Linked DNA regions of Medicago truncatula. The protein of the gene in region 3 interacts with the protein of the main gene of each other region in a pairwise test. Links are inferred from orthologs where the notes say so. Each region holds a gene or a part of one and is shown on either strand. Other genes may lie near its edges.

Evidence for each region.
Region 1: the proteins of two-component response regulator-like APRR9 (region 3) and transcription factor TCP2 interact in a two-hybrid assay, tested with the Arabidopsis thaliana proteins (2 studies listed by BioGRID). The link is inferred for Medicago truncatula from reciprocal best matches to the Arabidopsis thaliana genes PRR5 and TCP2.
Region 2: the proteins of two-component response regulator-like APRR9 (region 3) and adagio protein 3 interact in a two-hybrid assay, tested with the Arabidopsis thaliana proteins (2 studies listed by BioGRID). The link is inferred for Medicago truncatula from reciprocal best matches to the Arabidopsis thaliana genes PRR5 and FKF1.

What each region holds. Positions count from the first base shown.
Region 1 is NC_053049.1:38,107,676-38,117,620, forward strand, and holds the start of transcription factor TCP2, read right to left. Parts: upstream 4,897-9,945; 5' UTR 4,348-4,896; intron 4,252-4,347; exon of another isoform or gene 3,985-4,251; intron 3,464-3,984; 5' UTR 3,138-3,463; coding exon 1,659-3,137; 3' UTR 1,625-1,658; intron 1-1,624. UniProt on the Arabidopsis thaliana protein: Plays a pivotal role in the control of morphogenesis of shoot organs by negatively regulating the expression of boundary-specific genes such as CUC genes, probably through the induction of miRNA (e.g. miR164). Participates in ovule development.
Region 2 is NC_053049.1:48,668,442-48,679,114, forward strand, and holds adagio protein 3, read right to left. Parts: upstream 4,208-10,673; 5' UTR 4,127-4,207; coding exon 3,831-4,126; intron 3,153-3,830; coding exon 1,541-3,152; 3' UTR 1,197-1,540; downstream 1-1,196. Other genes in the region: dynamin-related protein 1C, read left to right, coding at 1-5; transcription factor SPT20 homolog, read left to right, coding at 8,007-8,121, 8,212-8,361, 8,465-8,848, 9,112-9,188, 9,741-10,673. UniProt on the Arabidopsis thaliana protein: Component of an E3 ubiquitin ligase complex that plays a central role in blue light-dependent circadian cycles.
Region 3 is NC_053044.1:45,866,202-45,876,820, reverse strand, and holds two-component response regulator-like APRR9, read right to left. Parts: upstream 4,265-10,619; 5' UTR 4,128-4,264; coding exon 3,884-4,127; intron 2,940-3,883; coding exon 2,778-2,939; intron 2,682-2,777; coding exon 2,551-2,681; intron 2,438-2,550; coding exon 2,107-2,437; intron 2,021-2,106; coding exon 1,648-2,020; intron 1,441-1,647; coding exon 732-1,440; intron 630-731; coding exon 522-629; 3' UTR 148-521; downstream 1-147. Other genes in the region: transcription elongation factor SPT4 homolog 2, read right to left, coding at 7,173-7,223, 7,854-7,915. UniProt on the Arabidopsis thaliana protein: Transcriptional repressor of CCA1 and LHY, thereby controlling photoperiodic flowering response. Involved in the positive and negative feedback loops of the circadian clock. With RVE8, forms a negative feedback loop of the circadian clock.

The DNA.
Region 1 (9,945 bases), on a different chromosome or scaffold from region 3:
CTTTCCCAATACTGGCTTCTCAAGAGAACCAAGTTACAAACCTAAATGCCCCCAAATAAAGAAGTTTAAATTTTGCATTCTGAATTTATTAAATCCTGCTGTGCATAAATAATTAAATGGAAAAATATCTTTCTATTAATTATTCATCTCATAATTGTAATACAAAAGAAAAAAAATAATTAATATATTTCATTACTTTTGTTACAATTTTCAAATTTTGAAACCAATCATGATGCCACTTTTTTTTTTAAAATAGAATTTAATTTGTATCTACTGACATTGTAATTTTTTTTCACACATGCATTCATATAAATACCTATTTGAATATATGCTTTGATAGGACACATACATAAAAAGTTTTTCGTGCTTAGAAAAAATCTCTATATAATAATCTCAAAATGTATTTACATGTAACTTATACCATATAAACACAAGTCACTATAAAACAAAAAATTTATTGAAGTCATCATAACAAAAAATGTTACTCCTACTATGTAAAATAAATACAATAGTATCGCTTTCAATTATTAAATGGGCTAGCTGGCTAGTTTGAGAGACTGTTTCTCTCCATGCGTGAGTGTCAGTAGTGAAATGTATGTTTTACTACGTGCATGGACCTTTCAAACATAGTGAAAAATCCCCTAACCAAACCAACCCCATGGCCATGACCCATCCATGTATGGTACTCCTAGCTATAGCCTAATAACTAGGCTCACACTATTTTTCCCTAGCTTACAGAACCTGACAATTAATAAGCAATTCAGGGTCATGTCATGTGGGTGCACAGAGGTTATAAACAAACAAGCGGGAAAATAAATAACAAATTGGGATTGTAAAGTAAATTTAGACATTCATTTTGGCCCAAATTAAAGTCAGTTTAATTAACATTACCCTAGTGAGTGAGTAACACATGGTTATGTATTTATGTCACACAAAATAATAAAAGCTGACATGCTATTTAGGAGGGAACCAATAAGAGCACAAATAAGGAGACAACCAGCCGATACATCCCTATTCACGGCAACCCATGCAGCAGAAGGATGAATGAATCAAATGGAATCAAATCAAAATCAAAATCAAAATCAAACAAAAAGACATCACTAAATACATAATTTTATGACCAATCCCCAACTTGTCTTTTATTTATCATTCATTACCTAGATACAACAAACCATTCACTCTTTGTTATGGTATTGCACAAAATAAACAGTACTATAGTACATCCAAAAATATTCAAATCAAGACAAGCACAATTATAATTGTAAAATTCAAAATATTTAATAATGTCACTTCATGGTTTACCAAAGGCAAGGCATGTACATTGGGGAAGAAATCAAACCAACAAAAAACAATGCAATGTGGTCAAACAATAACATTACTAGAAAAACAAATCATCTAGTACCAGTTCTTCTTCCGGTTTATAAGAGAAAGTTAGATCAACAGAAGTTGATGTATTTAGTTTAAATTCTGAACCAAATACAACAACTGTAATTGACACGATTTTCTCTTGTAAACAAGACTAAAACGAATATTTCACAAGTATACATCAACAAAAAAAAATTAGGCTAAAAATTAAGAAATGACAAGTAATAATAAAGAGAGAAAAATTGTTTTTATGACGTACCTGCTAGAAGAAAATGGAGGAAAAGTGAAACTCTTCAGTTTTTGGGTTTCCCTTTCTGATCTGAATAGAGCTGCAAGCTGCTACCATCAAAAACAGATGAAATCAGATGGTGTTGAATCTGGTGATGGTGATGATGATTATTCTCCATTGTAGGAGCAGCTGAAGGTGAAGCTGAAGCAGGAGAAGAAGAAGCAGAAGCACCTCCTCCACCTCCTCCCATGAAAAAAGGTAGATTGTTGGATCCATCTAAAGGTGAAACTGCAAACCTTTGAAGATGAGACAAAAGAGACGGTGAATTGGACTGAAGGGTCCCCCTATTATAACCAGCAAGGCCCGAAGAGATTGTGAAATTCAGATTATAATCATTGTTGTTCCCGCTTGGTTGAGTAGAAGAAGAAGTAACCACATTTTGCATCATATGATCTGGTATGAATGAAAATGGATGCTGCAAATGATGCTGATGCTGATCTTGAGAATGATTCTCACCACTAGTACTGAATGGTGAAACTGAATTAGACATTGTCATTGATTGATGATCATGAAGTGAATGTCCTAATAGATGATGATGATGATGTGCCCTTGATGATGAAGATCCTGGAAATACTTGACTAAAGTAATGATCCATTGGTGCTGAAGAATTCCATTGCTGCTGCTGCTGCTGTTGCTGTCTAGCTTTGTTGAAAAAACTAGGTTCTTCAGCTGACCCTCTTGGACTATTTGTGGTAGTAACAGTATTGTTGATTCCACAAGTAAGTAGTTCAGTGAATGAAGCTGTTTGAGAAATGGAAGAGGTCACATTGTTGTGATGCTGTTGATGAGTATTGTGAGATTCATGATTAATCTCTTTGTCCTTCTCCTTAGCAGTTCTTTCTCTTGCTCTTTCTCTAGCTTTGACACGGCTCACACGAACATCAGATCTTGAAAGAGACAAACCAGAACCTTTACTTGTCTCAGAAGTGCTACTACAACCAGATTTAGACAAAGAAAGATTCTGACTTTGATAATTGTTTTCACCATTCTCAACAACCATTTCAGAATCATGAACTGAATCAACACCTTGTTCACTTGGCTGATTATTACTATTATTATTATTATTATTATTATTATTATTATTATTAGGTGTATCACCAGAGAATAATGAGTTGTTGAGTGAAGGTAGTTCTGAAATAGCATCAGAAGCTGATTTTATCAACCATTCAACAGCTTTACTTGGTTGGTCATAACCAAGTCTATCTTGAAGATCATAAAACTGAATAGCTGTTGTAACAGAAAGCCTAACCCTTCTATCTCTTAAACCCTTTGAAGTCATTACTTTACTATGCCTATCTTTTCCACCAGAAGCTCTTGAAACCCTTATAATTCTTGAAGAATGATGCCAATTATTGAACCTGTTAAGATTTGCACTTCCATCACATCCTCCTCCACCTCTTCTAATGATATCTCTTCCATGATTTTCTTCCTCATTTTCAACTCTTGGGAATTTATGTTGGGCTTGAATCTCATCCTCCTCCATACCACAATCATGCCTTTGCAAAAACAAACCAACTTGGTCTAACTTCACTTTATTATTTATCTCAATCTTAACTTAAATTTCTCTCTGGTTGTGCAGTGCAGAGAGAGAGAGAGAGAGAGAGAGAGTGTGTGTTTGTGTGTGGGGTTAGCTAGGTATATGTCCTTTGCATTGATGATGATGAAAATTCAGAGACTGTTTTGGCTGTGTAGTGATAAAAAGGCCTTTTTTACTCTCTGATATATCACGGTCCAAGTCAGGAGGCCCTTCTTTAGCTTTATGCAGTTTTGCAGAACAAAACCCTTTCAAAAGCAAAACCTCTTCTCTTCCTGCAAAACTCAAAACCAACCACACCATTAAGGCTTAAGCAAACCAACTCAAAATAATTACTTTCTATCATCATTAAAAAAATACTCAAAATTAAATTGCATTAAATTTTCAAAACAAAATTAAAATACACTGTGTAATGTATTGTCTACATTCTTTCTTTAACAGTACACATCATATAAGATCTGATTAGTAGCTCATAGCATAGCATAGCATAGAGCCTCAAAAAACCTATATATTTTATGAAAAGCTAAAAACCTTGTAGAGCCCTACATATATATGTACCATGGATCTGAACCATTCAGCTTTGTTTTTAAGCTAAAAAAGCAGCAAAATTTGCATAAGGGTATCCGATCTAAGCCAAACCCTTTTATAGCTTCTGCTAGTATAGTATTTATAGCATAGCATATACATTAGAAAGCAAACTATAATACAGCTACAAATTAACATTTTTTTTTTTAATGAAACACTATTGCTCAAATAAATAAAATGATTAAAAAAATGTTGAAGGGTAGGTCATTACTAAGAACAATGTTTGGTCGGAGTTTTGTGACAGGTGTTGAGATGTTAACAAAAGACAGAAAAGAAACCCAGTTGTTGTTGATTACTCAACAACTGCAGTGTCCCTTAAACTCAAACAGCTCACAGATCTGTGCACTTGTGCTTCCATTGAAACAAAATACAAAATCTTAAAATGAGATGTTCCAATATTTGTTATTATTATTTTTTTCAGATCAAGTAATACCCCACTAAGCCAACAAAAGAACCCATCAATATAAAATTCACAAGAAGCTTCATTGTTACAAAAATCAAAGAAAAAGATGAAAGTGGCTTCATGTGATAGGTACGTAGGAAGTGAATTAAAGACAAAAATATGAGATAAGACCTTATTCTTTGCTGCTGATTTTCATGAATTGTTGAGATGGTCTTTCCTTGTTTGAGTGTGTAAAATGGTACCTTGAAATGCAAAATAAGATCATAAAATTATTGTTTTTTCTTTTTGTTTTTGTTGTCTCTTTCTTTGAAACTTCAACACAATACCTCAAATCAACTTAACATATTTTTTTGAGTTTGATTACAGCTTACAGATTTTTTTTTTGTTTCTTGAACATGTAAACTATGCTTAGAGAGAGAAAGAAAGTGATGTACACAACACAAAACAAAAATGTTTGTTCTAGGGCTGGTAGTTTGGTGGGTGAGAAATAGAAAGAAAATGAAGAAAGAAAAAAAAACCAAGAATTGTGTGATTTGTGACAGGTAGAGAGAAACAAGTAAAAGAGTTATTAAGAAGGAGAAGGATTGTAGTTGAAGTTGAAGTTGATTGTCCTCGCCATTGGAACAATGAACGAGCTTATCGGAAAAGACCAGACACGGTGCTGTTTGTAACCTCCTCTCCTTAATATTTGTCCCTCCTTTCTCTTATATTTACTTCAATACCTTATCTATCTATAGATAGTACAATCAATCAATTATTATTATATAACAAACTTTATAAAAACCAAATTAATAAATATATCAAGGAAAATAATTTAATTTGTATATATAGTGAAAATAAAATTATTTTACACTTGCATTCAATGGTATGTTGTCACACCCTTTAATGTAGATGCAACTTATAATACACAAACTATGTCAAAATCCAATGTGAATTTCGCGAACATCTAGTGGTACGACGAATCTTGGACTCGAAAATCACGGGTTTGAGTTTCGTGATTTGGAGAAAAATAAATGTAAATACATTTATAAATGTCGTTGAGGCTGAAGTTTTTTTTTAACTCGTACTAAAGCATATCTCCTCACACTAAGCACATAACTTATGTAAATACATTTGTAAATGTCGTTACAGTTTATTTTAGGCTAAATTGCATTTTTGGTCCCTTAACTATTTAAGTAGTATCGCTTTGGTCCCTTAATTAAAATTCGATTTATTTTGGTCCTTTAACTTCTATTTGTTATACATTTTGGTCATTTCCGTTAGTTTTATTCAAAAAAGTTAGGTTTTCTTCATCTTCTTCTCCTCTTTTTCTTCTTCATATCATCTCTGTCAAGCTTCAACAACAAAAATCCTAGAAAAATTCCAGAAGAAAATAAAGAAAACCTAACGTTTTTGAATTAAAACTAACAGAAAGGACCAAAATGTGTAACGAAGAGAAGTTAAGGGATCAAAATAAATTGAATTTTAATTAAGGGACCAAAGTGATACTATCTAAATAGTTAAAGGGCCAAAAATGCAATTTAGCCTTTATTTTACCTCAAACTAAAGCACATCTCCTCACCCTAAGCACATAACTTGCCATCCAATAGCATGAATATATATATATATATATATATATATATATATATATATATATATATATATATATATATATATATATAAATGGAGAGAGAGTTATGAACCCTCTCTTACTTACACTCTCTCTTACGCCAACTCTCTTATTAGGTATAATCCATGTGGAGTAGCACATATTGAAAATAGATCTCACATAAAGTGATGAGATCGACATCGATTTCATCCAACAAGAGAGTGAGTGTTAAAGAGAATGCTATAATGAAAGTGTTCCTAACATTTATATATATTGTTTAATTTTAATTAAAAAGTGTGGACACAACTTAAAAGTCAAGAGTGTTAAACAAACACCCCTAACATCATCAAAATTAACAAGAATAAGTTAAGAAAACTATGATCGAGGCTAATTCCATAACAACTACTATTGATGATTCTTTTTTCTCACTATGATCGAGGGTAACTCCATAACATCATCGAAAATAACGAGAATAAATTAAGAAAACTATGATCTGGGGATAACTCCATAAAAATTACGATCGAGGATTTTTTTCACTATGATCGAGGATAACTCCATAACGTCATAAAAAATAACAAGAATCAATTAGGAAAACTATTATCGAGGATAACTCCATAAAAACTACAAACGAGGATTTTTTCTCTCGCTTTGATCGAGGTTAACTCCATAACATCATCGAAAATAACAAGAATAAATTAGGAAAACTATGATCGAGGATTTTTTTTTTCCACTATGATCCATGATAACTCCATAACATTATCAAAAATAACAAAAATAAATTAGGAAAACTATGATCGAGGATAACTCTATAAAAAGAAGAGGAGTACCTCATATTATGAAGAAGATTTGCACAATAATTATCTTCTCTAAAAACACAAGGGATAGAAAATTAGGATGGATGAAGATGGAGAGTTTTAGAAATTAGGGTTCATGGTTCCCCAATCTAATTCTCTTCCTTTTTATAATTTAATTAATTCATTTTTTAATAATTAATCAATTAATTTTTAATATGTATACAATCAACTATTTCAATTAATGACATGAAAAATGAATAAGCCAACACACTCATGTCATGTCACTGCCACATCGTTAATGGGAATGAGAAATCTCTAAAATTGTTAGGGGACTTGAAAAAACCCAAAAAATATAAAATAGGAGGACAGAAATAGTGGTTTTAAAAGTAGGGGGACTAGAATTCCGATTAAGTTAAAATAAGGGGATTTATTGGGTGTAAGCGGTTCGGACTAAACCAACGAAACCGAAAGTCCAAACCGAACCAAATCGAAAAAATATCCGACCTTGTTTGGTTCGGTTTGAAACCGATCCGAACCAATCAAAACCTTTCTAGTTTGGTTTAGTTCGTGATTTTTCATTTCGAGATCCGTGAAACCAATGAATCAATCCGATGATAACCCCACTCCTTATTTTACTAATATTATCCGGGAACTTCTATGGTACACTCACAATTTTGAGTGTACCGGTACTCTTGTTTCACAAAATATATAAATTAACGATCAATTTAATGAAATAAAAAGGTATTTGTCAATATTTATATTTTATAAAACATCATTTCATAAGAAAAATCATCATTTCATTGTTTATAAGGATCATATTAAAAAATTTACATTTTGTCATAAAAAATAATCAATATTCATTGTTATGAGTAATAAAAATTCTTAAAAATTAAATTTTATTTCGTCGAAGCTTTTGGTAAATAAAATTTAATTCTCTTAGTTGTCAATGATAGAAAATAATTATTTTTCTTCAAAAAAACAACTAATTTATTATTAATTTTACGACTTGGTGTACCGATACACCCAAATTTATTGGGTGTACCATAGAATTTGCCATATTATCCTACCTCACACAAACTTATGATTAATCCCAAAATTAAAGTCCAACATAAAATACTTTTTAATTCATTCACTTTCTCTCATCGTTATCTTCATCTCATCTCATCAGTCAGACTCTTTTTCATTTCTACTAAAAAATAAACCCTAGCCATCAATCACACCAAATCAATTGTTCATCACCATCGGCCACCGCTGCAATCGTTTATCTCTTGGTTAGTTTTTATCATGTTTATGCCATTGATTTGTTATTTTGACTATGTTTAAATTTTAGGATGTGCTTTTTGGAATTTTTGTGTTTGTCGATGAATGATGCATGTATGTATCATGGATGATTGAAATATTTAAGTTTGATGAAGTTGTTTTTGAAGAATGATGGGTGAATGAATTTTGATTCATATGTATGAAATATTGATTAAGGTTAGTTATGAAAAGTTGTTTGAAAAATAGAAAACATGAAAAACAAAATATGAAATACAATTATACAAAGTTCTATGAAATATTTTTGTGAGAATATGAATTTCTTTTTAATTGTATTATTAAACAAACCGATCAACCGAACTGAACCAAACTGATTAGTTTGGTTCGATTCCTTTTTGAAACAGTGAAAACCGAACCAATCCGAATCGATGAAGATTTCATCGGTACAGACATTTTTTTGATTGAAAACCAATTCAAACCAAACTGTTACACCCTTGGGATTAAAAGTGCATTTAAGCCTAAAATATAATAAAACACGGAGAGAGTTATATTCAACGGAGAAGTCCATAATTCTTTTTTTTTTTGATAAAAAAGTCCATAATTCTGCCCAAACTACATTAATAGATCTCAAAGGAGTCAAACCTTTCCCCAAACGGCCATTAGAATCACGACTTCTAACAAAAAATTAGGCACGGTTTGGTTTTAATTTATATCACTGTTTATTTTGAAATTGATTCATGTAATTTGTGGACTAGTTGATTTCAGTCCATCAAATACAAATGACACTGATATTTTCTAGACTTCCAATCCAATGTTTGTTTATAAATATTTGAGACGAAAAAATTGAAGACCTTAGGGGCCTGTTTGATTATGTTTTAGTTTTTAGTTTTTAAATACTATTTTGAAAATCAATTTTTAACAACTCTTTTTAAAAATAAAAAAACACAGAAAAAGCTGTTTGGTTTATATTAGTTTTAAATGTTATAAAAATTATTTTTTTATTTACTAGATTGCCATTAATGAAAATTAATCACTTTTCCGTATTTTTCTATTTTGAAAAGAAATGAGAATTGGAGAACTGAAAAGCAAAACGGCATATACTAGTTTTCGGTTTTCAGTTTTAAAAACAACAATTTCTAAAACAGTTTTTAAAAAAAGTTTATCAAACAACTTTTCAAATTTTTGAATTTTAAAAAATAAAAAACTGTTTTTGGAAAGCGAATCAAACAGACCATTACTTCTTTTTTCTTATCTTTCTAATTTTTTACAAAAAAATTTATACTACTACGTGAAACAAGTTATATGAATTTGTTATCCATTCTACTTCTATTCAATTTAATTTAACCATTTACTATTATGATTGTAAATAACTGCTATTGTGAGAGAACTCTACCCACTACCCACATATGTACGTACATATATATTGGACACATTTGAGGTGTTAACAGTTAAGTTATCATGATTTCTTCAAAAAAAAAAAGTTAAGTTATCATAAATTTTTCATGTTACATGTTACGGTCCCCTCTTATTATAAATTTGGTCCATTGTTCAAATAAGGGGTTGTATTTCCGGCTTTCCGCGTATAAGATTTTGTTAAAAAATGATACCGAGCCTTTCATTAACCACATGTCACCATTTGAGTAAATATTTTGAATTGTTGGTGAGATTGACGAAATAGTATTGACCACGTAATTTTGTTAAAATTATGTATGTTTTGTCAAAGTTATAGTAGTGTATATATCGGGATTTTGACAAACTCATCGTTATTTTAAACATGAATGTCTTGTTTATACAAGCACATTATAAGAAAAATATATATTTTTTTTCTTTCGATAAGCATTATATAATTAAATGCTATTAGGTAGGTAATTATCTTATGAATGTCCTTCAGAGAATAGGTTATGGTGTGTAATAAAACTATAAAATAGTTGGCTCTAGTGTTGGATTATGAGAGGAGTTAGGGGGACCGTCTACATCGAGGCTAGAACAACCACTCAAGTAAGAGAGACATCACATTCTTACCCAAAACCTTAAGACAATGGGTTTATGAGTCCTCTTACTTATAAGGTGTTCAACCTTTACTATTTTATCCGATGTAGGACATATAACTCACACTTACAAACCAACATC
Region 2 (10,673 bases), on a different chromosome or scaffold from region 3:
AATAGGGAAGATCCCACATTTTACAACAGATACTGTGAGGAAGATTTGCTATAGATTTTGTTGTCTTATTATTTTTGTAATCAAACTCAAACAGAAAAGTCTAAGGTTACAAGCAATTGATTTGCACTTGCATATATTCTTTTGGCCCAGTGTATAAAGCCACTGAGTTCTATGATGTGATTTTATATACTAACGAGTTGTCGTTTGCGTATTTTTCAACAATTATTATTATTATTATTATTATTAAGTTGATTCTTTCAGAAGAGCTAACCATTTTAACTCAATATTTTATTATCTGCTATATGAGAATAAGCTTGAAGTAAAAGCTTCAAAGTTTGTCGTGAAAACCTAATAGTTGTCCAATATTTCTTCATAAAACCTAATGTAATATTAAAAAAAATAATGTAATAAACGCTACAAATATTACATTAGTCTACTTTATCATAAAAAATTACATTACTCTTAAAATTGAACTTGGATTCCTTTAAATAGAGTCTCACGGTTGATGCTTGTGGATGAAAAAATGTTGAGGGAATATTTTACTAAAGATGATGGTCTTCACGTTAATAAAATGTATAAAATATGTCTATAATATAAACACTTAGTATTTAATTAAACAGTTCATTTTCCTCAAAAATGGATAGTTCACTTGACTACTTCCAGTCTACAATTTTTTTTCGACAATATTCATAACAACTTCCAGCACTTTCAACACTTCCATTTCCCCCTTAATCTTTTGATACATTAATTTCTAATCTTAAAAAGTGTGACATTTAAACGACGTTCATGTTTTTTATTGATGCGACCAAATATTGCTCCATTAAAAAAATCAAATTCAGGTTCTCTGGGACAATTCTTTTAGATAAAATTTATTAACAATCCGAGTAATATCACTTGTTAAACAACCCTTTTAATGAGATAGATAGAGTATTTTCTTGATTTTTTATTTGTCTCTATCTGTCCTTTTCTTCAAGCTTAACCTTTGTTTTTCGTTGTTAATGCATTTAAGAGTGTATTCAAGTTAGATTACTTTTTTCTTCAAAAAGAAAAAGTTAAATTACTTTCAATAATGTAAAGTGTAAACAGTTTTACATTGTCACTGATTCTAGGATTATTCGTGTAAAAAGTCTATATATTATGAATTTTTTTTAAATCAATAAAAGAATTTTCATAAGAAATAATTGTAAAAGGAGAGATGATACAATATAACTGATATAGAGAGAGGTTTCCTAGAGCCACATACAAACATAAACCGTGGTAAATATACTCATAATACAAATGGCATATAACAGACATACAATATAGTTTATAAACAAAACCAAACTACTAAGTAAACCGAAAGTAAACTTTTCTTTTGTAACCAAAAACTTGTCTTGAGAGAAGAGATATGGTTTGATTTCAGACTAGATCCTCTTCTCTGCAGCCAATTCAGCCAAATCTCGACCGTTTGATCCGAGTTGCAGCTTAATCCAACAACTGAGATTCGGATAGACTGTCTGTAGAGGATCCGGTTCAGTTGATTTTCATAAGCGATCACTCATCACATGTCAGAGTCTTGTCGACTTGCCAAGCATAACTCATGCAACTCATTTAGTACCCATTCCTCCCCGGTATGTCCACCCAACACCAAAACCCTAGTCCCTCCAACCACACAAGTGCTATGACCCCAAGCAAATTTAGGTGGTTCCCCCGGAACATTGAGGATCCTCCACGTCGGTTTCTCTTCGGCAGGGTCCAATAGAAATAGTTGAGACGGTGAATGAAGACCTGCAATGGAACCTCCAAATATAATAACCCTCCCACAAGGCATGCTTACGGCAACATGATCTAGTCTAGGAGGAGGTACAACAGCATTTTGATTTGATAAACCTGTGAATGCACTACATTCTAGTTGCCTCCATTGTGGTTGTTCAGCTTCTAAATCTATTGTATAAGCCTCACCTGATCTTAACCTTAAGTGTCCGCTCTTTGCAAGTCCACCAAACATGAGAATCTTTGTCCTACCATAAACTGAGAGTGAGTGCCCTAACCTAGAAGGAGGAGTCCATGAAGTTGGAATTTCTCTCCATGTAGGATTATCTATTGTGAGGTCAAGTAAATATGTGTCACTAAGAAGTACTCCAGCATCTGTGCAGCCGCCCGAGACAACCAATTTAGAGCCTTCAATTGTGCATGAGCTGTGCCAAGATCTCGGAAGAGGCGGTGCTTCACCGAAAACTTCCTTCCATGTTGGCTGTTGAGCATCCAAATCAAGCACAAACACATCATTGAGCAATCCTTGCCTACCACATCCACCAAAAACAACTAGCCAAGAACTGTTTAAGCAAGAGAGTGTGTGGCCCCATCGGCCGGGCGGGGATGATATCACACTAACCCTTTGCCATTCTGGATTCTTAGCATCAAGATTTAGAACAAAAGTATCATCCATAGGCTGCATATCCACTCCTTCACCTCCAAATAATACAAGCCTATTTCCTGCAGCACAAGCACTGAAATTGCAGCGTGAAGGCTCAACCCCGCCTCCAACTGTAACTTTTTTCCAGCAAACAGCCTCAAGAGTAGTAAGCTCCCGAGTCAGACGACCCCAACCTAACTTCTTGGTCATCAGTTCCAATGTACCTGTCACTTCTTTGCCCCATGCATTTTGACAAACCATCTTCCTAACGTGCTCGTTCTTTGTTAATTGACGGATCCTCCTGCAAACAGAACCGATCGATGCAACATCCCTCGGTGTCAAGCGTGACAATATGTTGTGCGCCAAGACTTCATCAGAAAGCTGAAGAATGCCACACATCTCTTCGCGCTTCTGCGGAGTGTACAATAATTTCCCACTTTTGGGAGAATATTTAGCATTTTTATCAAAATCTTGAATGCAAGTCTCTCTGAAAACTGGATAAGAAACGCGGTTCAAGTCTATGTTTGCCTCGGAAAAGATTTGGATACCTATTATGTGTGTCACGACTCCATCATCATCATGAATTGGCGTAAGCCTAAGTCTGTTGACTAAGGGAGTACCATCCTTTCTGAAATTCAAAAGTTCACCTTGGAACTCAATACCTTCTTCAAGACATCTTCTAATCTCAGACACAACGACTGGATCCACCAAAGGATGCCGTCTCTGAGCTCTAGGATCCCTATATTGTAAGAACCGGCTGGAAACAAAAGAAATTCTAAAGCAATTAGAGGTATATTTTGTCAAAAGTGAACCAAATCAAAATATCTAAAAGAAATATCTTGTAAAAAAGGAATGAAAATATCAAATATAACCAAAAAGGACAATTCCCTATCATTGATTCTATGAGTCACATCTTTGATCAATACATTCAGAACAAAATCTTTTTCACAAGTAGTTAATTCACAAGCACAATCAATTGATGGAACCTTAATTATTATGGAAAGTACTAAGCACATCACAATGTTTACCAAGTAACCATGTTGTCAAAAAGTTAAATTAAGAGAATGGAAAATAAACTTCAAATTGTGAAATCACAAAAATAAAATTTGATAAATAGAAATTTATAAAAATAAAATTTATTTATTATCCAATAAGAAGGAAGCTAGGGGAATCAAAATTAGAAAGAATGGATTCCATAAAAATGGGGTTTGCAAAATGAAACAAAATTGGCACTATAAAATCTCAACATAGTATAGATCTGAAAGGAATGGAATCATTTTCACCGTTTGATAAAAGGGTTTATTTTTAGTTTAAGGAAAGTGGATCATAATTAAATGAAGTAAATTTATAAAATTTACATAAAATCCCAACCTTAAATCAACAAAAAAGATAAACCCCAACAAAATTATGATGCAAGAAATGAAAAAAATCTTACCAGTTACGACCAAGGGCTTCATGAGCACGATACCCAGTTGAGATTTCAAAGACTTTGTTGACATAAATGATTGGAAAATCTGATTCAAGTGCATCTGATACAACAAAAGATGTTGGTGTTGTTGGGTAGAAGAAAAGTTCTGGTTTTAATGGAAGCTCACTTTCTTCTTCATCAACTACTTGATTTTCTTCTTGTTCATTCTTCATCATGTTCATGCATTTCAATCTCTTCCCAACCTTTTGATTTTGATTATGAACCTCTTCTTCATCTTCTTTTTTATCTCTTGCCATAGCCATGTTTCTCTCTCTCTCTCTCTATCTATCTATTGTCAGAACGAAACAAACTTGTTCTGTTTTTTCTGACAAACACAAAGCTAGGAGTATGTAATAAGAAAGAATGTTTGAGTTTTATGGACGGAAATAACCTTCTAAAAAGAATAAACTACTGAAGGGTTTGTGTTTGTGGAGGTAGTGGCATTTTTGTAGTTTTAAAGAAAGTGAGGGGTGAATTGGAATAAGAAAAGAGTCAACATGGTGTAACACATGGTAAGCAGCAGAGATATTTTTGATATGATAGGAAAATATCTGTGACTGAATTCTTTCTCACCACGTCATAGGAATGGAATGGAAAGGTAAGGTAAGATATTTTTATTTTTATTTTTTTGAGACCAAGACAAGATATTTTTGTGTGACTTAGCGGGAAATTCACATGTCTTTTTTAGTTTTTAGTTACAAGGGGTGTCGTGGTTTCATCACTTCCATTTGATTTCTTCCTTCGATGGTCACGTTTTTTTTTGGTAAAATATCATATCATATCAAAATATAATGTGTGTATAGTCATATCAAAATATGATAAGTATCAAACCACCATGCTTCAAATCCATCTAAGTGAGAGTTTTAGGCCTCAAAATTTTCGGTTAATTTTTTTTTTAAAATAAATCAATTTAATTATAAATATATAATATGACATACTAATGATCAATATTATCTAGTTTAGTTGATCAAATTTTAAGGTTTTAAATCCTTTTGGACCAACATTCAAATCTTAAATTCAACAAAATTTGATTTATTATGCTTTTACATATTATCATAAAAAATAATCAAGTTCTCAACTATGAGTGATAAAAATTCAAAAGAAAATTAATTTTATTTCGTTGACACTTTTGATGAATATGATTTAGTTATTATAATTATAAATGATAAAAAATAATAGTTTTCTTCAAAAAAAAAAACAATTCATTTAACTATTAATTTAAAGAGTGAGTATATCAATACACTCAAATATATTGAATGTACCATAAAATTTGCCTATTTATAAGCATGTGATTAGGTTCCCTATAGTCTGTAGATATGATGATCATGGATTTTATATAGTATAGGTAGGTATTTGAACCTCTCATTTTATATGTGATTGATCATGGATGATCGACAAACCATCTATTAGTTTCTACATTTATCATGATGGTAAATGTAAGAGAGTTCCTCTCAAAAGGAGATTTTAGAGGAGATCATGTACATGTACCGATAAAAATTTAGTTGATCATTTGACAAAAGTTTTAGCAAGATAGAAAGTCGAGATGGTAACTCAACTTAAACGATTAGAGATCTTAAGAATTAGATTTAATGGTTAAAAACAAAGTGTGAACCAATATTAAACGATCCTGCTATTATAAACTAAAAGATACATGATTCTCGACACGACGAGAGGATGATGAGTATAAACTTTTAATGAGATTTATACTCTATGTGGAGTACGTAACTATACGAATATTCTTGATAGGCTTGCATCTATAAATATGGAAGTGGGATAAATGCATGAGCTTTTTAAGAATACACTCTAAAAAAATGTTATGTTTGTTTAGGATTTTTAAAAGGTTAGATTAGGTTAAATGAAATATTAACTTTTTATACTAGAAACTTCCTATTAAATCTATTTTATTTTCATCATTACTGATTTGTATGCTTTCGTGACGTTTGATTCCTAATTTCTTTCAATGTGTTTTAGGTTTAATCGCTAAGAATTGTTTTCTTACAATCCCTAATTTCTTATATTTGTTCACCTTTTTTATACGACATTGATATTAGTTGATATAACTTGTGTTCAGAATCATTACAGTTAAGCAAATTTTATATATGGTCTGTAATCCACACAACTGAATATTGGAGCTAAAGGGATGTTTGATTTTATTTTAACTGGATCCCTGCTTTGCACGATAGAGTTATATGTAAAATGTTATATTGTTAAAAATTGTGGTGAATAAAATTATTGTCATGAGTTCAATTTGAAAAAAATGTTTAGTAAGTTATTTGTGTAGAAATTCATTATTAAAAATAATAACAATCACATAAATGATTTGAAATCCTTCAACAACATATCTGAAATAAATTTCATGTAAGTCTTTGTTTGATCTACACATATTAGGTTATACATTTTATAAGGTTGTTCGCTTTTTAAAATTCTACAAATTTGCAAAGAAACAAATAAGCAATATATATAAATACATAATCAGACCATTAACTCTTTAAAGAAAACATACATATCTATAATTATTCAAAAACTTATAACAATTCTTTTACAAGTAACAAATACCTCGACATAGAAATTTAATTTTGAACTTTTATTGAAAAACTTTTTATAATATTATAAACAAATATTCAAAATGTTGTTCTAAAACTTAAGAGTTTAAGAATAATTAAATAAATTTGGTTTCAGCATTATATGAGTTTTTTAAAATGTTAAAAGCTCAATATTTAATAGTTTAAGAATAATTAAATAAATTTGGTTTCAACAGTATATGAGTTTTTTAAATGACAAAAGCTCAATTTAAAAGTAACAAATACACCAACACTGAAATTAAATTTTGAACTTTTGCTGAGAAATTTTTATAATATTATAAACAAATATTTAAAAAATTGTTCAAAAACTTAGAGTTTAAAAATAATTAAATAAATTTGGTTTCAGCAGTATTATAAATGCATGTATTTTTTTTTTTTTTTTTATAAAGATTACAAAATTATTAAAATTAAGAAACCACTGCAACTTTGTTTTTGAAGAAGATAAACTAGTCCATCCAAATTGACATCAAAGAGAATCGAACCTGAGACCTCAAAGAGGAGCCACTGCAAAATTATTAAAATTAAGGATTCATGATGATCTATCGTTCGGCCGTGAGGTAAGCATGACATGATCATTGTTCCAGCAAGAATCAAACTCAGATTTTGACGAACCCTTCATGCTTTGGAGGAACTCATTAACCACTTGAGTTAAGGACAAAATTGTTTGGTTAATCTCATATTATATTTAAACAAAATTTATATATTGATTTTAAATCAATCGGTCAATGTTGAAAACCAATCTTAGTCAATTCATTGAATCAAAATATCACAAAATAAATAATAAAATTCATTGAATATTTAAACAAGATTTATACATCGTTTTGTTAATCTCATATTATATTTAAACAAGATTTATATATTGATTTTAAAATCAATCGGTCAATATATTTATTCAAAAAAAAAAAATCAATCGGTCAATATTGAAAACCAATCTTAGTCAATTCATTGAATCAAAATATCACAAAAAAATAATAAAATTCATTGATTCAAAATAATTTATTGCTTCATTTCCTAATATACCTATTATCCTTTTACTGTGTTATTTTTTCCAAATATCTTTTATTTATTTATTTATTTGTGAAAAGTCGCTTTGACCAATTAAGTAAAATTGGTAGTATTTCTTATTTCTTATTATAATTGTTATTTATTTAGAAAAATACAATAATAATTAATTTTATAAGATTTTAAATATTAAAGCTCTACCATAAAAAAAAAATTACATTCAACTCTATGACTAAATTCTGGTTTGTGTCATTGAATTTACAAAATACAGGTTCTATACAGCTGACTTAGTCGATTGGATCCAACTACAGTTTTTGGATTTCATCTATGGATCTCCTCCAGTGAGGTTTTCACATGATTCTCTCCAGTTTTAATCTCCACCTTTAAATGCATCTTTTCCCTTTTTTCTCTTTCTCTCTCATTGCAAATCAAGAGATGGAAATTCACTGGACTATATATATGCTAAAACCACCTTACTTGAATCATCAAATCAAGAGTGATAGTGTTTGATTTCTTGCTCACTCTTTCACTTCACAAACAACTATTCTTTTCTTTTGCAATGACTTTTTCCTTTGGGAATGTGTTTCCAGCCAATGTTAAAGTTCTTGTGATTGATCATGATATCCATCTTCTCAATGCTATTGAGAAAAAATTGTCTCAATTCAATTACCAAGGTTTGTAAATTAATATATGGTACCTTGTTTGATTCTTAATTGAATTATGTTAACCTATGAAAGTCTCAATCTTTGTGTTCTTTGTTTCAGTTACGACATGCTGGACGGTTTCTTCAGCCATGAATTTGATAGCACAAAAGGTGCATTTTGATTTGGTACTACTTGAAACTCAAATGCCCGACATGGATTCATTTGATTTCTTGCAACAATTGACACAACAAATCGATATTCCTGTCATTAGTAAGTAAATATACAATTAATTATATTATCATATCACATGATTAATTTATACTTACATGAGATGAGACATTATATAATTTATTTATGTTACATATATGTGCAGTGACGATGTGTTCTGAAGGATCAACAACTGGAATATTGAATGCAATTGAAAATGGAGCTTGTGACTGTTGGGTCAAGCCATTCTCTGAAAATCAAGTAAAGTATATGTGGCATCATGCTGTTAGGAAAATGATGAAAGGAAATAAAAAACAAAAAATCAATGAGCAATTGGGGGTTGAAGGTAGCCAAATAAGGGCAAGAGATGATTCAAATTTATGCTTAAATGACGAAGATATACCCGAACCACCCCCGACAAAGAAGACAAAGAAGAGAAAGAAGACGAAGAAGACGAAGAAGGAGCGTGTGGTATGGTCTTTAGAATTACATGAGCAATTCATGAAGGCTGTTAAAGAACTTGATGCTTCCAGTTCCAGTTCCAGTTCCAGTACGCATTCTTTACCTATTCTTGTTTTTATCAAAAGTTTAATCAATTTATTCGTAGTTTACTCTAACATCTAATATGAATCAACTATTGATGCATGTCATATCATTAAAGTGACATGTAGTGGAGTGATTTGAAGAGATGATTATACTAGATGACAGTGTAAAATTTGTTTTTGGAAATAAAGTTCAATTTATATTTTTGCAACTTGTCATAACAATTTTTTTCTCTCTCACTCTTTCTCTTTGTTTATTTTTTTCTTTCAGAGGCGGTGCCAAAAACAATTCTTGAACATATGAAGGTGCCTGGACTTACAAGGGAGCAGGTAGGCAGTCATCTTCAGGTAATTTCCGTTTTAACCCATAAAATTTGTGATAAATCCGTTCTTTGAAATTAAAACTTTTTTTGTTTGTCAAAAATGAATAAATAAAGGATTTATAATTGTAAACTAAAAATTTGATTATTTATGGTTTGGTCCTTCAAAAAAAAAAATTATTTATGGTTTGGAAAATTTGACGGGTATATAGAAAACATATGTTTGTGACATATTATTAATCTTTTATAGGAATCTCAATATATTTTATGGATTATTAGTCTTTAACTTTCATTCGGATATATATTACCAGTTTACCCTGAAAAGGAGCTAACTCAAAATTTTGATTTTTTGATTTGTTCAGTTATAAAGTTTTCTCAGTCATTCAAATTAAATGCCCTAATACTTAACCAAGCAGAAGCTTGTCTTGCATGAAATTAAACATAGATATCAATCTTGTTTCCATACCATTAATTAAACCAAGACAATAAATTGTACACTTTTTTTAGGGAATTATTTAATGTACACTAACACTAGCATTTTGAAACTGTAATTTATATTGTTATATATTTTGATTTGCAGAAATATAGATTATATTTAAATAAACATCAACAAGAACATGAGCAAGCTCTCCTGGTTGTGGAATCCAACAGTTCACATGATAGATCTCCAAAACTTTATTTTCAAGCTTATGATGCTTCTGCTCATGCTGTTGTATTAGAATCATCACAGTGGTCTCACAATTCTCATGTTGCAGAACAACAATATCCAATGGCATATGCTTGCAGTTCTCAACAAGTTCCCAGAAAATTGTTACCAAGGCATTTTCCTCAACAACCCAACATGAACCTACATCATGGATATGCAACATGGGAGCAACAACTTCCAAGTGAATATTATATAGCTGATCACGCAGTTGGTCTTGGAAGCTTGACAGCGAATAATAGTAATGCAATGCTTCAGCAGGAAGAAGATATTAATAATCAACAACAATCACCAATGCATGTTCCTCATATGAATAATGCAGTTAATGATGGTGTATCGAGTGTGGACAACATCGTGGAAGTGAATAATACTATAACAGATTTCGGTGAAGCTACAATGCAAGTGGAGATTGGTCCTCAGGTTCAAGAGCTAGAAAGGGTGGTAGCTGGTCCTCAAGATCAAGAGCTAGGAAGGGTGGTGGCTGGTCCTCAGGCTCAACCTCAAGAGCTAGAAAGGGTGGTAGCTGGTCCTCAAGATCAAGAGCTAGGAAGGGTGGTGATTGCTCCTCAGGCTCAACCTCAAGAGCTAGGAAGGGTGGTAGCTGGTCCTCATGCTCAAGAGCTAGGAAGGATGGTTGCTGCTCCACAGGATCAACCTCAAAAGCTAGGAAGGGTGATGGCTGCTCCACATGCTCAGCCTCAAAAGCTAGGAAGGGTGGTGGCTGGTCCTCAGGCTCAACCTCAAGAGCTAGAAAGGGTGGTAGCTGGTCCTCAAGATCAAGAGCTAGGAAGGGTGGTGATTGCTCCTCAG
Region 3 (10,619 bases):
ACTTGTTATACAAAACAAAACAAAAATTGGTATAAGAGTTGTACAAAACTTTGAATGAGAATATATTGTGTTGAACACTTGAACCATTTTGTAAGAAACTTGTTGGATAATTGATGTTGTATAATATTTTATCACCAATAAACAAAATACAATTAACCGGTTGCTGTAAACACAAACAGAGTCATACTAATATGATATTGTACAAGAAGCTCCAACATTACATGATAAATCAGCGAGACCTAATAAGTACACAAATCCTTAAAAAAAAAATTAAATAATGAGACACGACAATCTCTATAAAACTATATAAAATTACAACTGTATATCAGGTTATTATTAAATATATATCAGGATCTAGAGGAAAGGCAAAAAAAGAAAAATGGTTTTACACAGCATATACAGATCAAGTGGTTTTGGTACTTAAGAAGTCAAGGAAACAAAATTTTGAAGCAACTAATGCTAACAAAGCACACTATCCTCTCCACTAAGTCACATATCTGCTAATGTAATAATCAGTATTCTTAGCAATCTTTTTCTCCAGAAAGAGAATCAGGATTCGGTTGGCGAACAAATTGTCCTTTAACTCGAGGACGCTGCTCTGCTAGTTTCTTTCTGCTCTCATATCGAACCTGTTAAAAAGTATAAATAAGTTAGCATAATATGAAAACAATGATGATCATTGATCTTACTTGTATAATTACAAGCTCATATTGATGTTGATATTGATATACCTTCTTCTCATAACATCTCTCTTTTCGTTTCAAACGGAACTTGTTTAGAGCTGCTTCTCGTAGCATAGCTCGATGTGAATATCCACTGTTTGTGAGTTCTTCATTCTTTCCCTCTGAAACTGCTGCTGTTCTGAAAGTGGCAACTTGTTCAACATTGCCACTACTTCCACAATTACTTCCATAACCAATGCTGTTAAAATTGCTGGCATTTCCATTATTACAAAAACTACTGGATACACTTTGATCAGTTGTAGGGGAGATAAGTCTTTGATCCTCTGGATGTTCTGACTTGTGTTCCTGTGTATACATAATTTGGTTTGGAGTACTGTTTCCATTTGGACCGCGAGGTTCGTAAAGCTGCTCTGAATTATTTTGTTTAACATTTGACTGATAAAATGCATCTGCTTGAAAGTTTTGTTCGAGAAACACAACTGAACCGGGCATTGATGGTGGACCTGATTGTGTACGAAACCCTGGTGGAAGTGTTGAACCATAGGCCATACAAAGATCATTGAACCTTACACCTTTCACAGGAATTGGGAGAGAATGCCTTTGCTGGGAATGTGAAGTTGCAAGTTCAGATTCTTTTTGCATACTTGGTATTGAACTATCTGAGTTATGGTTCTCATTATTTGTTTTTTGTTCTCTTGGTTGATCAGAGAAGTTAATTACTACGGCAGGTGATGCTTGCAATTGCCTATTAGTATACCTGCATGAATGGAACACCGTTTCAGTGATAAGCATGCAGAATTCAACAGAGTGGAGAAGTCATAGAGACCACAAGTACAAAATTCATACACTTTCTATCTTCATCCTTATAATGTTCTGAAGTTCTTCAGACTCATCACTAAGATTACAACAATTTTTAACTACACGGAAAGGAAAAAATTAGAATAAAAAGGGATTTAGCAATTACCGCTTGAAAGCTGAAGCATTAGAATGCATAAGGGTGTGCCTTTCTTCGGTGAGATCCTTCTCAAAGTTGCTGGGATGAGAGCTTCTGAGAGAAAGATCCAACTGTGGAGAATGGTCAAACTTGCCTGTGCAATCAATTGATGAATTTTTGAGACTGCAATTCGGATCAGTACGAAATGCTCCAATCAAGTCAATAGCTTCCTTAGTAGTAGAGTAAATTTGAACATAGTGATTGTCATGAACCTCACCACTGATGCTAGCATTCCTAAAATGCTCTTGATCATCTCCGTCCTTGCAATTATTTGCACCTGTCTCTCCATTTTTACAGTTATTTGTGCTTGCCACTCCATTATTGCAGTTAGCCACGCTTAATCCTAAAAATAAAAGTTTGTTCAAATTTTAGATAGTTCTTCCTTGTGAGTCGAACAAAATGATATTGCTGTGAAAGAAAGAAATTTACCTCCGGCGTGACTGTCCTGCGCGATCACAGCCTGGCCTAAATGAATGTCAAGTTCTCGTGTCTTTATTTCACTTGGATATGCTTCCGCACATTTCAGCTGAGAAAATTCATGCATGTTATCAACCAGGCCACTCTCAGCTTCCATGTTTGGCCTTGTACAAGAGCTCTGTGCGTCACTTCCTTTCTCAATTAAGTCCTTATTCCTTTGAATGCAAGCAGCATCACCACCAGAACGATTACTAGCAGCGTTGTTTTCAGCAGTGGCTTCAAACTTCTGTTGTGTATCACTTTCATCTTGAGGGCCATTTATGCCAGCGGTTGCGGCTGACTGCTGATAGAGTAAACAAATAATAAACATAAGTTCAACCAATTTTGTTAATAAATTCTTAGTATTTTAGGGAAAAACTGAAAACGAACTGAAAATTGAGAGAGCAGAAGTCCTACTGTTTGTCTTCTCCAAACATGTTGCCACAAATTCCTTAGTTCATTTATTCGAATTGGCTTAACAAGATAGTCAGCTGCACCTCTCAACATGCATTTGTATACTGTGCTAACTGAATCTTGCGACGACATCACTGGAAAAGCATGAAAAAAATACAAAACAATTAATATAAGTATTAATAAGGAAAAAAATTGACAAGCAGAAAGAAAATTTATCTTTAATATCATACTTATGACAGGGATGCTTTTGCAAATATCATGCTCCATAATTAATGTGAGAAGTGCATAGCCGGATATGGCTGGCAAATCGACTTCTGTAAGTATTAGATCAATACTGCGCGGTCTTCCTTTGAGTATTTCCCATGCCTTCAAGCCATCAGCAACAGCAGCAACTGCTCAAAACAGATCAAAGTTATTTTGAAGTTCTAGAGCTTAGATTTACTTTCAAGTACACTAATTTTGTTTTTCAAATTACAACACAACCAAGATAAAAAAACTCAATAATATAAAATCATAATGGCAGATAAAAATTGAAAATAAATTGAATAATTGTACCAAGTTTATGGCTTAGCCTAGTAATTTCCATACTGCTATAAGACTCTATTTCAAGGTGCCATAAATTCCTAAGATTTTCAGCTAACAAAATCCATGTCACTTTAAACCAAGTTGCTTGGGCTCCAATGGCAAGGAGCTCCTTCCAAGGACGTATCCGGGGAATACCGGGTTCGATTCCCGGGGGGAACAACGCTTGGCAAGTGCCCATGCCTCTACGCATGAGCCGGATTAGTCGCTCACCAGTGGGTCGGAAACCGGTGCAAAAGCCAAAAAAAAAATCCATGTCACTTCTCTGTAAAAAAATCTACATGATTTTTTACATTTTTTCTCATGAGTTAAAATTTATCAAACCATATTAAAAACAAAATGTCTTCAATTAATTAGTGCACACAAATTTTGTTTTCCATCCCCTTAATTTTTATCTTTATTTATTAAATCAGCAAAATCTACAAATCTATCAGTACACCCTTGAGCCTTGATCCTTTCCAAAATTTGCAGTCCAAAAACTTCTAAATTTATAATTACTAGTAAGCTTTTTCCCCCTGTTTTTGTCATGTGTCAAATATATACTCTTAATTAACAACAACTCAGCCTCAATATAACCCAATATTCACAATTAATTAAATCAAAGTTTACACTAAAAAAATATGAATTTGCACACAAGAAAAATTGAAAATTGAGAATACTTACAGAAAATTAAATAACCAATTAAACACAAAACAATATTACAAAAACATCAGCTTGTACAATAAAATAATAATAATAATAATAGAAATAGTACCTTTATAGTTGCATTTTCTAAGAAGTGCTGTTATAATCTGTCTTGTACAATCATCAGCTTCAACCAAAAGCACCCTCAAAACCATTTTTGGCAAGAATTTCTCCCACCTCATAAGCCCTTTCATTTCACCACCACCACCAGCACCTCTACTCTCAGTTCCTCCGCTCCCTTCTTCTTCCCTCACCTTCTCTTCTTCTTCTTCCACTCTCACTATTTTCTCACCACTCATTACAACCTCACCCATGTTGTTGTTTATTGGATCCAAAGACAAGAATCAGCGTATAGCATCAGAATCTTTGTTCAAGAAAACAAAACCTTAGCACACAACAAAAATATCCAATTTGGAAGGTGAAAAATAAAAGAAAGTAAGAAGAAAGAAAAAAAGCAATATATTGTATATATATGGATATTGTACAAGATTTTTTAAGGTAATAGAGTTTGATCTAATGGTACAGATTGTGACACCAAAGGTAACAAGGTTCTAATCCAACGGTTATAAAATATATTCTTTTAGCACAAAATATCTAGAAACCATGCAGACACTGGCCCACATGGTCCACGTCATCAACTAGATCTATAAAGAAATAAACCCGTGGTTGGTGCTGCTGTATTAGTGGTGGATATCATTTCAATCACTCATTTATTCAATTTATTCAAACTATTTTTGTGCTTTAATTGTTTGGTTATAACTTTCTCTTGAATTCCAAGTTGTGTCCAAATGGAAAATATCAAGGGGATATTTTTGTATGAGGGACAATTCGGAATGCACATGGACCCATTTGGAGAAAGATATTAATTTTTTTAATCCAAAAAAATGAAGATATTTTTGAGTGCTTTGAGGCTGTCCAAGAATCCCATGGACAATAGTGATACACGTGGCAATTTAGTTGAGGATGTCTTGTTTTGTGGCTTTGAAGTCGTCGAACTCTATCTATGTCTTCACAAATCACATGCTGCGGGCAGATGTTGGCTACTCGCTCTTTTATAGGTCAATATATATCATCTATCAAAATTTGACTTGCAAAATAGTAAAAGAAGTGATAACATGTGTTATTAATTCTCGTCATATATCACATACTTGATAAAGACAATGCATAATATACGTAAAGTCATGTTAACCAGTGTCCGGGTTAAGGAAACCGAAAAAAGTAAGTTTTAAGATAAAAATAACATTTTTTATGTTTTTGAAAACTTGACAACGCAAGTTCCAATGCAATACTTACTACATTTCACTTCTTAACCAGTGTGTCGGAGGCACCGATTAACATTACCTATGTATGTATGGAAGGGTCAGAATTTGAATGTTAGACTCATTTATTTTTTAGTCATCAGATCATCCAACAAAAAAACTCATGATAAGAAATTTGAAGTGAAAATTTCATTTTAGAAATTGTGTCTATTTATCTTTTAAAAAGTTGTAATTTATTTTTTCCCAATAAATAATGTTATTGGAAATCGAACTTAACTCAAAATTTTCTTATGCTTTTGTCCCAAACGAAGTTAAATATTTAAGATTGTTGCCAAAATTATAGAAGCATGTGTGAAAGGAAAAAAAAAAACAATTGAAAAACAATGAGAAACATGCTGAGGAAACCCAAGAGATGGAAATGGATACTTTTCAAACGAAAGCAAGTTTTTATGTTATGTTAGTTGAGAGATGGAAATGGAAATGGAAATGGATACTATCAAAGGGAAAAGTTAGTTGATTTGTTGAGGTTTAAAAAACAATGTATCAAATGATGGTAAAGGATCTCAAATAAGAAGTTCATCAACAGTTAGTAAAGGCTTTTTTATATACAAGTGCCACTCCTTTCAATTATAATAGTAATGTGGAGTTTGCAAGAATTGTCTGAGATGATTGAAACGTATAATTGACTACAAAAGCTTAAAAGAAGATTCGGTGATCAAATAAGTTCAAATTGAGAACCGGCCATTTGATTTAATTCAGATTCAAATTGAAATAAATTGAGTACTCAAATGAGCACAATTGGTACATCTTGTATGAAGTTTCATCAGGTTAATCTGTTCAGAGACTCATACATATTTTTGTGACAGCATCAATTTATGGATACCATAAAAAAGATGCTCGATACAGGTGGAAAAAAACTCAAATGAGTAGTTGACTAGCATATATATAAAATGCTTTAGTTAAGCAGCGAGGAGCCTGTTTGGATAAGCTTATTTTGAGCTTATACAAAACAGCTTATACAAAAATAAGCTTTTATATATTATTTACAAGTTTGTTAAGGTATTTTGTGAAAAAAAAAAACAGTTTATGAAGATAAAATTCTCGTTAGTAAGAGCTTATAAATTAAAATAAAAACTTAATTATTTACATAAATCATTTTTCATAAACACAAAATAAGCTAAATCCAAACCGGCCCTAAGGGAGGCGATCTCTCAGTATACAAATGGATTACATAGACCCGAACTTCGTGTTAATGCTAATAATCCCTTGTAAAATAGATTTGTACACATCATAATTACTTTTTTTTGTCATGTATGTGACAACATTTTTTCAATTGATATGATGCCATGTTTCACACCTATTGTTCTGTTTTATTTTCTCAAACCATTTCAATATGATAGAAACAAATTATTGATTAAAAATTTCGAACAAGAAACTGGGACGAGAACGGTGACACCACTTGCACCATTGACATTAATACATAAGAAATATTATGATTATGAGTTCAAACTCTCGTAATTGATGTAAAATAAAAATAAAAAAACTTGCCGGTGCTATCATGTACTCCCTCTGTCCCTATATCTAATAACCCTTTTATTAGAGGCAAAGGATGCTTACATATAGGAACGGATACATTAATACATAAGAAATATTATGATTATGAGTTCAAACTCACTGCTAGTATCGTAATTGATGTAAAATAAAAATAAAAAAACTTGTCGGTGCTATCATGTACTCCCTCCGTCCCTATATCTAAAAACCCTTTTATTAGAGGCAAAGGGTGCTTACATATAGGGACGGATGGAGTATAAACCAAAGTGAAAATTTCCAGCATGACCAAAAGAACGCAAATTGGTAATTCGCTTGCATGATAGTAGTTTGATAAATTACTTTGGCCAACAACATATCAGTCAAAAGGAAGCCTATATTACATTTAGTTTCATGAGCTCTTCTCACGTACACACTAACTAACTTCTGTTTAGATAATTTTAACAACGCATTTCAATAATGCATTCAAACATAACTAGCACTAAAGTCCACATCAATACGTACTCGATTCCAACCATGTTAGAGATGTCACAAGGCCTATATTTACTTGTTTCACGAACGTTTGGGAAGTGTATATGGCACATGCTTATCCTCACAAATAGCCTGAAAATGGGCATATAAGAAAATAAATAAATAAATAAATAAACAAAGTTCAACATACAACAGTAATTCAGTGTAAACTGTTCGATAGGCTGATACAAGAGAAAGGCAAAAAAAAATGTTTTTTGTGTATCAGGCAGCTTTGCACAAATGTGAGCAAAACTTTTATTTTGTTATACAAGTTGAGCAACACTGACTTCTTCATACTTCATAATAGAACAAACAACTGATTGCAAAAATAACCTAATCTTAGTTGCCATGGCCAAACATTATAACCACTTGAGCATTTAATGAAAATCTCAACTCAGAAGGCAACGGTGTTTCACATAACACATCCTGTGTGTTTAGAGCTTCCCTAAATTTTTAACACCTTTGCAAAAGACAAAGAATAAACTGCCAACTATTTTATATCCGACCAGGTAAATTAATGGATAAAAGCACAGCCTAGGGGGAAATCCCCAAAAAAAAATACTTAAAGTTAAATTATGGTTTTTGAGAGAGTGGCATAAAAAAAGAGGTGCACAATCTTATACTTGAAAAGAGACAACTATGTAATAACAAAAACAAAGTCCCTTATCAAAAATAATAGTAATGTATGCTGAATCTATATTACACAAATAGAAAAATACAAACCTGCATATCGTCTGGAAGAGCCTCTGAGACAGCAAGAGTGTAAACACCAGGAACAAATTTTCCTGCAACATATAAGAAAAACTTTAATTTCCACATCTCAGTTGTGTGCAAGATTTCAAACTTCAATCTAGATAGAGATTCTAAAAAAGAAAAATTAAACGGCACTTCACAGTTGAAAGAAAAAAATAAACAAAGAAGATAAACTTCAAATGAAAAAAACACCACAACAATTTCTCTATCTCTATAATAATATACACATTTAGCTCACACAAATGAAAATTCTCTCCAGGTGCCACTCACTAAATTACATCACCAGTTTTTAATTCAGAGGTACTAATTTACATGTTTTGAATCAACCCCAATCTCTTTCTCTGGCACCATTCTTTATAACAAAAAAGGAAAAGCTTCTCACTTGCTCGTTTTTTTTTTTCAAAATTCAAATTTAACTGGTACAATTTATATCACATTCCTCTTCTATCCATCTCTTTGCTCTCCGCCCATCTCTCACTCCTCTGCTCAGTGCCCATCTTCCATAATCAAAACATTGTATAACCTACATCTAAAACGTAGCCTCTTCTTCAAAACAGACTAAGAAAATGGGGTTCTTGACTGTAAATGGAAAATCTTAACAGCAACTAAGGTTTATGATTTTGACTGTGACTCTTTATTTCTATATAGATTTCAATTGTGACTTTGTGATTTTCTGCAGCTGTAGACATTGTGTGAGCTTTATTGTAGCCGGGCTTAGATGGCATGTACTCTATCCTTGTCTTAACATATGAACAAATCGCTGTCTCCACATTCTCATCTCAACTTTCCTGAAATGATGAAATTGTGAGATTGACGGCGAATGACTAACTCTTTAGTCTTTTTCTTCTCATTTTAGTGCTAATTGTGAGATTGTATGTAAGTTCATTTGATTTGGATTTAATTTGATACTCAAAATGTGCACTCACAGGGTGTTTTTGAAAATGTCTTACAACAGGAAATGGAGGGAAAATGTAAACAGCCAAGCATGAAGCTTTCAAATGATATGCTTTTATATTGTTTATGCTTTTTTTTTCCTTTGAATGTATAGACATGTTTAAGGAGTTTGTCAGATACAACCACTAAATGTTTATATACTCCTTCCTTATTAGACATTATTGGCAAAATCTTTGAATGTGATTTCATGTTAGAATTTGGGCAGAGCTTACAAAACTGGCTTGTAAGGTGAGGGGTGTCAGTCTATATACTAATGATCTAGGATAGCTCTAATACCATAATAAGTACTAGAGATTTCTGCCATCAAGAACGATGAGAATAATATGGAAAATTACTGGACTTAAAAACCAGAGGATCTTAAGACTGCAAGGGTGCACGAATAGAAAAACAGAGACGGTAGCTTCAGACAATGAGTGAAGAGCAAGGGTTTGCTGGATAGAATTGATAAAGACTCTGCATCAGACAAACGACCTCGAAAACAGGTTGAAGAGGCGCCCACGAGATGACCTGAACCGACAGCTTCTTGATCAAAACGATTTACGACGGCAAGTGGCCAATACGTGCCGAAAAGTCTGACGGATTGTTATGGCGAGTGGGAACTTCTTCGGCGACGAAACTTCAGAGGGTGACAGATCAGAGCCTTATAGTGACAAAGCCACCACGTGTGTCTAGTGTAGTGGGTGGCAGACCAGACTTTAAAAGAAAATTAAAAAGTATAACTAGCGTGACCAAGCTTTGAATACGATCTTGAATGAATTGCTTATGAGTATCAGAAATCTCATAAATTAACACCACGAGAGTATATAACGTACTATTCACCTAAACATTAAACAGTACTTTAATCTTCGTCAGCTAGAATAAATTTCATAATTAAATTTTGTATTCCTCTTTCTAGGACCTTACTTGAACCCTTTAACCAAAAGGTTGAAACTGCAAAGCATTACCATAACTCAACACATGTAATACATTGATTTGGTTGTGGTTGAGTTGCAATTTGATACTCATAGTATATGCACCATAACAAGAAGATGTGAATGCGAGACAGCAGTAAGTGGAATGCTTTTGAATAATCACTTTGTGATTACCAATTCGTTCAACGGCATTCGACATAATGTTGTTTCTCATATATGCTTCTTATAAGGATATCAAATTGCAACTCAACCACAATCAAAGTTAATGTTTTGTAGTTTCTACCTTTTAGTTAAATGGTCAAGTAAGGTCCAAGAAGGAGGAAGAGTGCAAAATTTAATTATGAAACTTATTACCATATATAAGTATTATTCAATGTTTAGGTGAATAGTATGTTGTTTACACTCATGGTGTTTAAAAGGAGTTAAAGAACATTCTACTCACTTAAACATTCCACGTAACTTAATTTTTGTTAGTTACAAATAAATTTCATAATTAAATCTTGCATTCCTCTTTCTAGGACCTTACTTGAACCCTTTAACCAAAAGGTTGAAACTGCAAGGCATTACCACAACTCAACACATGTAATCCATAAATTTGGTTGTGGTTGAGTTGCAATTTGGTATCCATAGTAGACGTGAATGAGAGACAACGATATGTAGAATGTTTTTGAATAATGACTTTGTGATTGCCAATTCGTACAACGGCATTCCACATAATGCTGTCTCCCATTCGTATCTGCTTCTAAAGTAGTGCATCTACTATGGATATCAAATTGCAACTCAACCACAATCAAAGTTATGGATTACATGTGTTGGAGTTATGGTAATGTTTTGTAGTTTCTACATTTTGGCTAAAAGATCGAGTAAGGGC